Saccharomyces cerevisiae S288C: one gene and its partners. The gene in region 3 interacts genetically with the main gene of each other region. Each region holds a gene or a part of one and is shown on either strand. Other genes may lie near its edges. The genes, in order: SCD5, FMP41 and LDS1.

What was found.
Region 1: mutations in LDS1 (region 3) and SCD5 together harm fitness more than expected from each alone (negative genetic interaction), as found in Saccharomyces cerevisiae (one large-scale study listed by BioGRID).
Region 2: mutations in LDS1 (region 3) and FMP41 together harm fitness more than expected from each alone (negative genetic interaction), as found in Saccharomyces cerevisiae (one large-scale study listed by BioGRID).

Annotation. Positions count from the first base shown.
Region 1 is NC_001147.6:936,074-940,859, forward strand, and holds SCD5 (Scd5p), read right to left. Parts: upstream 3,277-4,786; coding exon 658-3,276; downstream 1-657. Other genes in the region: ATP-binding cassette multidrug transporter PDR10, read left to right, coding at 1-424; DNA-directed DNA polymerase gamma MIP1, read right to left, coding at 3,548-4,786. UniProt on the Saccharomyces cerevisiae protein: Regulates both fluid phase and receptor-mediated endocytosis. Involved in vesicular transport at a late stage of the secretory pathway. Regulates actin cytoskeleton organization.
Region 2 is NC_001146.8:317,530-320,591, forward strand, and holds FMP41 (Fmp41p), read right to left. Parts: upstream 1,281-3,062; coding exon 501-1,280; downstream 1-500. Other genes in the region: PSD1 (phosphatidylserine decarboxylase 1), read right to left, coding at 1-142; SKO1 (Sko1p), read right to left, coding at 1,887-3,062. UniProt on the Saccharomyces cerevisiae protein: Tautomerase that converts enol-oxaloacetate, a strong inhibitor of succinate dehydrogenase, to the physiological keto form of oxaloacetate.
Region 3 is NC_001133.9:117,992-121,570, reverse strand, and holds LDS1 (Lds1p), read left to right. Parts: upstream 1-2,029; coding exon 2,030-3,007; downstream 3,008-3,579. Other genes in the region: serine/threonine protein kinase PSK1, read right to left, coding at 1-1,346; DNA-dependent ATPase FUN30, read right to left, coding at 3,257-3,579. UniProt on the Saccharomyces cerevisiae protein: Involved in spore wall assembly.

The DNA of each region.
Region 1 (4,786 bases), on a different chromosome or scaffold from region 3:
CGGTGTTCTGGCTACGCCAAATATTCTACCAAGATTCTGGATTTTTATGTATAGAGTATCGCCACTGACATACCTCATTGATGCTCTGCTATCGGTAGGACTGGCCAATGCTAGTGTCGTTTGTTCCAGCAACGAACTTTTAAAAATTGTTCCTCCAAGCGGTATGACATGCTCGGAATATATGGAACCTTATATGCAATCCACCGGGACGGGTTATCTGCTCGATGGGAGTTCCGAAACTGAATGTCACTTTTGTCAATTCAGTTCTACCAATGATTATCTGGCGACTGTGAGTTCTTCGTATTCACGTAGATGGATGAACTATGGCATTTTTAGTGCATATATTGTCTTTGACTATTGTGCAGCAATATTTTTATACTGGCTGGTGCGGGTTCCAAAGAAAAGCAAAAAATTAAAGAAATAATTAAATATTACTGGCTACATTCATTGTATATGCAAAATTAGTTAACTATTGTTCAGAGGTTTACGCCATGTTGCTAAATGTTTGGTGAAACTAAAAGACTAGCTCAATAATCAAGACAATAAATAATGCTAGTAAACAGGTGTTCATAAATTACATCACTTTTGTGACTTTATGTACACATATACCTACATATATTATCTTTCAAAACTATACACCTCGTTTAGCTTACGATACTATGGTCTCCTATTATATTGGATTTGTAAAGCATCGACTTGCTGCTGCAATGACTGCAAGTTACCCAAAATATCGCTTGAATTGGATCTATTAACATCTGCAGTGAATGGAAATTGCTGCTGCTGTTGCTGTTGCTGTTGATGAACTTGCTGCCCTAGCATTCCGTAATTAGGCTTGTTAGGTTGGCTATGTATATCACTGTTGTTTAAGTGAAGTTGCCCCGGATGTTGTTGCATTTGAGAAAGTTGGCCACCATATATTCGTTGTTGAGTTTGTTGTTGTTGTTGCTGCTGAATATACGTCTGATGAGATTGAGTATTGTTCATTGCCGCACTAGTATTTTGGAATGAACTTATGCCATTACTGGCGTTATTGCCATTAACAGTAGACGCATTTGATGGCGTAGGATTTGGAGATGGTGAAGAAGAAAGTAAAGATTGAAAGTAACTATTAGCAGCATTCTGAGGTGACAAAAAATTTGGAGATTGTATGCTTGGTGAATTTGTATAGGAGGGTTGGGTCGGCACCAAATTATTCTGCTTTTGCACGTTAGAGTACATATGTTGAGGTGGCACAATGGCCCCTTGTTGCTGCTGCTGAGCGCGTGGAGGTGGAGGAGGTGGAAGATGTTGGGGCTGCTGTTGATTATTAGTATACGTATTCTGGGGGGATATCATTGTTGCTTGATTATTGGAATAAGTATGTTGCGGAGAAAGAATGGGCTGATTTTGAGTGAAGGTATTTTGTGGAGATATCAATTGCGACCGTTGGTGCTGCGGGATCGTATTTTGAGGAGAAAGCAAATGCGATTGCTGATGTTGAGGAAGAGTGTTTTGAGGGGGGAATGCACCAGTTATTTCTACTTTCGGCATGGATACGATGTTACCATTATTAATCCGAACATTGTTAGAGTAGGTGTGTTGAGGCGATATGTTAGATGGTTCAATTTTCGCTTGAGTCGGATTAACCTCTTGGTAAGGTTGCTGTTGATTGCTTTGAGGAAGAGTAATGTTCGGAGAATTCAGAAATGCTGGTCCTGTACTTTGTGGAGATGAAGATTGGTTCGTAAATTGCGCCTGAAACATCGAAGATACTGGGTTATTAACTGAAGGTGAGATATGCTGTTTCATCAAGTAATTTGCAGAACCTGTGGCGGTAGGTTTCAAAGGTTGAAGTCCCCCAGAGTTTGTAACTGTTTCTGGTGTACTCGAAGGTTTGATAGACTGAGGTTGTTCCATATGACTTCGCATCAAATAATTTGCAGAGCCCGTTGCTGTTGGTTTTAAAGGTTGTAAACCTGTTTGGATGGCACCGTTGCTTGGATGCAACCCCTGATTATATTCTTCTCGCACCAGGTGATTAGCTGAACCTGTGGCGGTTGGCTTCAAAGGTTCTAACGGAAGTTGCTGTGGAACAGTGGTGTTATTCACATTGCTAGTTGGTAGAGTATTGCCATTCTGTAAAAATACCGATGAAATTGGCAATGAGGCAGAATCAACAGTCTGTATTTGTTTGAAATGGGACAAGGAATCCTTCATATCCTCCAAAACTTTCTTCTCCTCCTCAGTTTCTTGTTGTTCGCTGGGCAAACTCGAAACTAATCCGCTGTTTTTTCTCCGCTTATATAGCCTCTTTAATAATTGATCCATGGGCAATGTGAAATCCAAAGGACTGTCATTATTAGAATCCTGATCTTCATCTTCTGCATCAGGATCTTGCTTTCTTGCTTCACTATTATTAGATGATTCTTGATTGAGGTTTGGAGGGTCTTGAAATGTTATATGCTCTGAAAACCTAACCTTCTTACTCTTAAAATTCAAATTTTTGATTCTTCTCCTGACTCTTTTTCTCGTTGTCTTACCAGTCAACAGCAATGAAGCAAATGAGTCAAAATCGACCTTTTGATCACCAGTTTTGGCAGAACTATCATCGTCTTCCACCTCCTCGTACACCTCTTCGTGATTCTCACTACTTAGGATAGGACGTGGTTTGGGAACAGGTGCCTTTTCCAAGATCATGCGTCTTAGAGGTAAGATGCCATATATAATAGCTCTAGAAACTAATCTTAAAACAGCGAAAAATTGACCAATATTTAACGCATTTTTACAGCTACGGAAAATTTCCACAATTCTATCTTTTACTTTTTGTGATAAATTAAAATTGGTCAAGAACCTAAACACGTCGTTCAATCTTACTAGTTTTCCATGGGTTCTCAAACATATATAGTGGTACCATCTTAGATATGTCCTTATTTCTTCATGGGTAAGTTGGTTTTGTGATAAAGACAATGGGACTTGCATGTCTTCTGGTGACTCCGCGTACACATCGCCTCCAGAAAGTGTTCGTACCTCCCCATTAGGTGGATTATCCTTTTGAGGAGAGCTCACGTTAGTGGCATTATCAGCTGCTGTATTTGAGTGATTATTTCTGTAAGACAAAGTTGTATCACTGTGACTTCTTGATCCCTGATCCCAAAAGCTGGAATCATGTGGAGCAGCAGTATTTATACCAAAATCAAAAGACACACTGGGTGGTCCTAATCCATTCGATGGCCTCTTTTCTGCTTGGTCCCCGCTGCTTAAGTCCAATCCCGGAACATTAAGCCAATCAAACGACATGTTTCGTTACCATGTAAAATTTATCGAGCCTGCAATGATCTATAAAATCTTAGCTAACGAGAAGATGCAGATAATTTGGGTTTTGAATTCCTATTTTGAATTCTACCTTTTGTTTTGTCCCCGTTTCCTAATGTTAACTCTTTTTCTAATAGGGGCAACTTACTTTTGTTTTCTCATTTGGCGAAAAAAAGTAAGTAGAAATAAATAAAAAAATAATATTATAATGTGCTGTATATATAAATACAAATGCGAAAGCTAATGCAGATTTTGCCTAGTACTCTCTAGAAATAGTAATGTCCCTTTCCAGCTCAACCAAATTTCTATTTGTAGTGCTTGACTTCCTTGCCGGCAATTTTTTGGAATGTACTGCTTTCGCAGTCTTTCTTATTGGCGATGATGATGCCGTTCTTGCTTGTGATGGTTTCTTTTTATAATTAGATTTGTCGTTCAGAACGTCGTCAATCACTCCATCTATAGGAATATTAAAGAATTGTTTTTCTGTCTCCAAAGTATAGTCTAACGGTTTATTTGCACATTCATAGAACGCTTCAAATGCCTTCCTGCCACCATACACTCTTTTGTACTTCCTTTCCATAGGCGTGGTATTCTTTTTTCTGGTTAATTTTTTCTTATTTTCGTCATCTATCCTGTTTTCCTTCTTTCTCCTGTTCTCCAGCAATTGCTTTTCTGGGATTGCTGAATCGTTAGCAATTTTATGAAGTGTGGGATAATCTGGCATATTGACAGGTAATCTGATTCGTTGATCAGCTTTGGCATTTTTGGTACCATCTAAAAAATTGGATCCCATAATACGTACTTTAGTCCTTTTGCCCTTCTCGACATCCTTTATATAGTCTAGGAGGCTGTACTCTGCAGTGTTCCCATCTCTAGCGTATTCTTTGGATGTACACTCCCGCAGATACTCATCTTCTAGCCGATTCACATCGCGCTTATCTGACTGGACTTGCATCGCAAGAAAATATTTTAAGAACTCTGGAGTATAAGATTTATTATATTCTTCAAATACAGGTTCTCTGTAGTTATAGGCATATTGTGATACTTTGCTGTCGATATCGAGATTTGGTTTACCCAATTTACTATTGGATTTGTCTAGCAGTTGATTGATATCAAGCGCCTCCCCATGAGGAATGGCGGTTTTGTTCGAGGGGGTTATGCAGTCCATATTGACTTCTTTACGTATGACAGAATCAATATCTACTTGCGAGAAAAAGGCACAGTTTTGCGGTAATTCATTTATCCCCATTTGCTGGCAAAACATTGCTCTCGTCCATATGTTGCTGATTTGCAAAGCCATAGCAGCTCTGTATTTGTCCTTTTCGCTCACCAAAAATCTAATCTCATCATGGATGGAAATGCAAAGCCTTGCCTCAAGGTTATATTTCTTAATAATATATTCCATGGAGCAACAAAGAAGATGTAGATAATCCACTCCAGATGACTGGATGGCCCAATTGATTCTTGAAGGTAGAAAGGAATTCGCCCTCAGATT
Region 2 (3,062 bases), on a different chromosome or scaffold from region 3:
GACGCGTGGAAAACTTTCTATTCCATAGCACCGCAGTTCTATTTCTTAATTGCATTCTTGTAGAAAACTTTACAGCAGGCATCCTCCCCATGAGGAGCGTCCTCCCTTGCGCCAAGGCGTTCTTAACTGGCATAATTGACATGCTGGCTTTGCTTTTCCTTCTTCTTCAAAAAATAACGACCAAGAAGGATTTGAGCGATCTGCTAACAACTGGCTGAAGAGTCCTTAAAGCGCTACGTACCTCTAGGCGTCTCTTTTGTGAGTAAGCTGTTTTATATTATAGGTGAAGAACAAATTTTCCACATGCTTGTGCCTGCTTTAGATGTCCCTTGACCTCGAGATTTGAAAAAACACCAAAAAGGTGCTGGTTACCCTGCATGTGATATGTGATTACATAGCGTAGCGTATACAGAAGCACAATTGGTCGTATATGTGCCAAGCTTGTAGGAAATTAGTAACGCATAACGTGTTATCTGCGACAAGCGTGAATGCGACAGACATTATGTTTCTCTAAATTCATATGGTCCCGGCCGATTTTCACATTCGAAGTTCATGTCGACAATATTGTCATTATTCTGCAATAGCTCACAGTGAACACGGTCACCAGGCTTTAACTCGCCTACACCTGCAGGTGTACCAGTCAAAATGATATCACCCGGTTCCAGAGATATCATGGTAGATATGTGTTGCAGTATTTTATGGAGTGGGTGCAACATGAGGTTAGTACCACCATCTTGTCTCAACTGTCCGTTAACAGAGCACTTGACTCTGAAAATATCCTGTAAGTTTGATTTGTAGGATGAGAACTTCTCGCGGGAGACTATAGCAGAGATTGGCATGAAGGTGTCAAAACCCTTGCTTATAGTCCAAGGTAGCCCCTTCTTTTTGGCTTCATCTTGGACATTTCTTGCTGTAAGATCCAATGCTAGAGCTACACCACTAATAGAGTCATAGACTTCTTCGGGTTTCATCTTAGTGACATTGGACAAATGTTTGCTCACAATCAATGCCAACTCAATTTCGTGATGAACCTTCACACCGCGTGGGATAAAAATGGGCCCGGGGTTAGTTCCGTCTTCATTTAAACCATTGAAAGTCGAGTTTGCAGGTCTAGTGGTCTTGACCAATGATGAAGACAATGGTGTCACAATACTCGAGGTTGGTTTTAGGAAAAAAAACGGTTGTTTTGGAGTTGAATTGTTCAGCTCTTTGATATGCGCTGCGTAATTACGCCCAATGCATATAATTTTTCTAGCTGCCTTCAAATAATTGTAGCTCATAACGTTTTGGCAATTTCCTGAGTCTTTACTCGATAGCTTTCAGAATATTTCTATATAGGAAGTTCTGGCTGAAACGTTTTTCCTTATCAGTTAGAGAACGGTGACCATCTCTTGAAAGCGAACAAAAAAACGTGAGGCTAAGGAAGCTATTTAGGAAAATAGACGAAAAAGGAATGGCAAAAGAAGGAATGGCCCTTTCAAAATAGGTATAAGCAGCACAGCTTGATACATGCTAGGGTTGCAGCAGTATAACTGTACTCTCTTTATGAGCGTAGTGAAAAGACGGTGAAATTATAACGGTATGCTCTATGAAGAATAAATGCTGTAGGAAAATTTACGATAATAAAGCCTTTATTGTTGTTGATCAACAAAAGGAGGCTTAAGCAATTGATAAACTTCTGAAAAGAAGAACCCTATTAAAGTTTATATCAAATATAGAAAAAAAAATCTTGAAGTTACATAAATACAGAAAAAAGCGGGAGAATAAAAGGGATTTCCTCTTAAAAGGAACTTTATAGTGGAATATTTGCAATGAGAAAAGCGGACAGGTTGAAGAGTACGAAAGCATCAGATAGAAGACTATTTAAGAACCCCGTCGCTATCTCGTCAATTATTGTGAGGTAGAGTGGATAGTACATCATGCTTATTAGTATCATGGGTATCGGAATTTGCATTTATTACCAATGGATTAGTAACAGAGTAGCATGAATTGATTATATTCTGTGCACTATTTCCCACATTATTAGTAGTTGTGTTACTTTTGCTGATATTTGCTCCAGAGTTCAGTGAGTATTTTTTATCTAGAATTATTGGTCTTGAATTAACGGAAGGATAGCCCGCATTTTCGCTTTTGACAACGTTAGTGTCCTTATTGAAGCTGTCTTCTTGGCCATCCATGTCGTCCCTTGGGTTTTTGCCTCCCCTTCGGTAAAAATTCGTTTCACATATCAATTGCTTCATGTTTGATAATACTGACATTGCACTTGAATAATCACTCCTTGAAATGCTACTCTCTAACAATGCTATTAAAGATGTAGATGGTGGTGATGATGATGACGGAGTTGAAACATTCACATTGAATTGGGAATTCGAGGAGCTTGAGGGTATTATGCCGCATAGCTTCCCAATGACCTGAGTTAGATCGTCATATTCAGATTCATAGAATTGTAGATCATTTTCAATTTTCTTGATGTACTCTTTCTTTCTTTTTCTAAATTTAGATGCAGCTACTCTATTTCTTTCTAAAAACTCCTTTCTTTTTCTTTCTTGCTCTTCATTCTCATCAAGTGTTACGTTGTTTGAAATTTTATTATTTTCAACATCATCTTTTTGTGCTGGTGCAGTCGTAACTGCTGAGTTTTTTCTTGATATGGAATTTTTTCTTGAAGCCTTAGAAGTAGAACTTGTGCTAGACATCCTTCTCTTTCTTTTTCGTGTTTTGTTATTGAACTGGTCATTGTTCTCAATTTGAGTCGTTAAATTTTCATTCTCCTTGTGATTATGAGCGGAGTGCTCGATGGCATTGAACTCTGCCGGATTATCCATTTTGACAGCCGCTTTCGTTGAAGTATTTGGGGAAAAATTGGAATTACTGATGCTGTTGTTGACGGTACCATCTGTGGTATTTGTTGTAGGTGTTGATTTGAATACTGGATTAGCCAAAACTCCAGTAGATGGTAAGTTTAGCAGAGAACTCAATCCCGGCGTAAGTGGTGTACCATTTACAGTTGGGTGCATTATATTAACATGAGGGTGGTTTTCAATACTTCCATTCACTGTGAC
Region 3 (3,579 bases):
AATATGCGGCCATAGTCCTGTTGGGGCCGTATATCTGTTATCGCTGTCGTATCTCCAGAACCTGTAAATTCATCAATTTCCTCCTTTAGTTCATCTGTATCTGCGATCGGATTATCTCCAATAAAATTATAGTGCTCAAAGAATGGTTCTGCAAGACTATCCAGCAAAATCTTTTTAAGCTTTTCAGTTCTTTTATCGCGTTCTGAATTATTTTTCTTGGGATCTCCAAGCATTAGTTTATTCAAATTGAACAACGATATCATATGAAGATCCGAAGCTCTCTCGGAAGTATTTTTCTCCAGTGTTTCGTTTAATAAATTCAGAAGACTTTTCAAGTTCGCTCTTTGTTCATTCAATAGATCCATAGAGGGTCCATGGTGCGGTAAAAAAGTTTCATCTTCCTGATATGCCCTCTCATTGAGTAAACTGCTATTGCGGAGATTGCTAGTTTGATCCTTGAAGGGTTGTCTAAAACTTGGCCTTTCAGGACTTATGTTGTTTCCATAGTCGCCACGAAATAAAGAATTATTATGTTTGAGCAGCGGATCTTGCTCAGGTAAGATGGAAGGTAAATAAGCCAACGAGTTGGCTCTATGGAATGTTTGAGAATGTGTTGGATCCAAATTAGGGAAAACTGGGGTGCCCGGTTTTTTGTTAGATAAAGCAGAAGATGCTGCTGAGGAGGAAGAGGTATTATTTACAAATGCATTTAAAGTAGCGGAAGTAGTGTTCCAAATCTGGCTCTTATTTCTGTTCATTAAATGGTTTGCAGAAGCCGATGTCCTTGGTAAACTGCTCCTACGGCCCGCAAACTCTTTCAAAGGAGGCAAATCATCTGGAGTAGGCTCCAGTAGCATACTTGGGTTTTGTATTATGATTTCCAATGATCTCTTCAAAATCCTCAATCTGACTGCCAGGGAATTTGGCGAAAGTGGATTGTACGAATAAGAATGAGTTGATTCATTCGGAAGAAACTCTAACTCCTTTATGTCTTCATCCGTTAAGGGCGATGATACGGTTGAATCAACGGATGAAGAAGCTGTCGAAGGAAGTCTTGGTTGTTCAAAATCTAAAGGAGGTGGGGGTTTAGTCTTCCGAAAGCTCGCAAATGTATCTCTTAAACTTTGCTCGAACTCATCACCTTCCTTTTTATTCGGGGTTGAAACGTCACTTAAAGACGTATCGTAATTTTCTAATTCATTGTCAATATGGTTCTCTTGATCGGGGCTCGGTGGTGTCTGCAAAGATGCTACAGAACTGCTCGTACCTTTATGTGTAATCGCATGTTTTTCCTTCAAATTAACAAATGAATGTTCTGAGAGGTTGGAAGCACCGATGTAGGGCATTACTTCTTTGATGTTTACCTATATGCAAATTAGGGAGAGAACAAAACAAAACAAAACAAAACAAAAATAGAAGAAACAGAAAAACAAAGGTGAAAAAAAACAAAAGAGGGAGATGACGAACGGAAACTTTCACTCAATTGGTAAGCTACTGTTTCTAATTTCTGACTTACCAAAAAGATGCAAAATAACTATAATATACCGCTGTTGTGACGATATCCGGGGTTTCTAATCTTTTATGAGCTTTTGTATAGCAAAAAGGTGCAACGACGCCTGAAACAAAGGAAAAGAAGAGGATAATAGGAAAATAATACAAAAAACTGCACTTTGTAACGTTGATTTCCTTTTCAACGAATGCTATGTTGTGGTTAGCGACCTGCCCCTTGCCAAATCTTATTCACCACTTCCTTAGCATGTAATCATTTACTTAAAAAACCCTTGTTTTAATATTTATTACCCGCCATGGAATAAAGCACGTGACTCAATAATACGACGGGATCTTTCTGGTTTTGTGACACATGGAATAATATCATAGTAATAAGTATTATACATATACATATATATATAGATATAGATGTGGAAAAGGAAGTTTCAAATCATTTTTTATTTTCGTTCTTGCCACGAATAAGTGTTGTTATAGTGTAGGGAACAAAGGTACATTATACAAACAATAACAACAACAGGAAATGAGTTTTACAGGTTCATTAGCGCTGGCAGGTATTGGTGGTTTGGTGTACAAGTTTGGCGGAGGCCAATCGTATGAAAAACTGCCATATGTCAACATCCCCTTCAATCAGTACTTGGATAAAGTTTACAAGAAGCACTTCAGCAAAGTTATGAGCCGTACCAGATACGTGCTAATGAACTTTTTCAAAGATGCATTCACAGGAGGTGCATTCATGTACCCGTTCAAAGGGTTTTTAGAGTTCAACACCAATAAGAGCAGTTACTCAACGACTATGTTAGGTATATTATCGAGTTACTTGATAATGTTTGCCCTGGTAAGCTTTGTGTATTGGGCTACAATTACGCCAATGTACACAGCTTTTTTGATTGTGCTGGGCCCTATTGGGCTTTTCATTGCCATTTTTCATTCCTTTTTGCAAGCAAATGTTTTCACTTTATTGTTTATGAGACTCAGTCATTTTAATAATCATTTAGTGGAGGTGTGCTTAGAGAAGAATGGTTTAGAGGAGAATTTGAGTGAAGTCAAACCAATCAAGTACTATGCACCTATTAACTCGATATATTTCTGGGCTTACTATTTCCCATTCAAGTTGGTCAAGTACATGTTAGGCCTGTCGGTTCTTTTTGTGCTGTTGGTTATATCTTTTTTCCCACTTATTGGACCAATCCTTTTTCATATTTTAATTTCTCCTTTCATCACTCAAATTTACTTCACGAAAGTTTTACGTTTACAAAATTTCGACAACATACAAAGACGTGAAAATATTTATCTCCACGCTGGCCAATATGCCTCATTTGGTTTCTTGGCCGGTTTGATTGAGTCCGTGCCCATTTTAGCGGGCTTTGCCATTTCTACAAATACTATTGGTAGCGTTTTATTTAACCTTGATCATCCAATGGTCCCTGAAAATTTAGTAGAAACTCAAGCTGAAATTGAAGCAGCACCACAAGATATCAATCAACAACCGAATCAATAAATTGAAAAAAGTTCACCATTTCTCTCCCCAGATTAAAATTACCTAGCTATACATACTAACCTATGTATATATACACATATATGTATATTATACTCTAGAAAATATTTTTACCGTTCTAAATTTCTTTGTCCTTTGTTCTATCAACTCTCTTTTTCCACATGGTGCGTTCACGCAGAAGAAAATAAATATGTTATTTTTTTGGTTTATTTTCTGCTTATCTATTTACTTTTTTACTATATTTTTATTTATTTATTCTTTGGTTCCCTTCGGTTTCGAGTTTTCATCATAAATTATATCCTCCAACATATCACTAACTTTACTTTCCAACACATCTTGAGATTTTTTATCTTCACTGATATACGAATCTAAAGCTAGTTTATTTTTGGCCAGTTGATGAATCTTTTCCTCTATGGAATCCTTAGTAATTAAAGTGGTTATATTAACTTCCTTTGTTTGTCCCACACGATGTGCCCTATCAGCAGCTTGTCTGTCATCATGTGGGTTAAAACTTTGATCGAATATAATAACATTATTTGCGCACACCAAATTAATACCGAATCCACCTGCCTTTG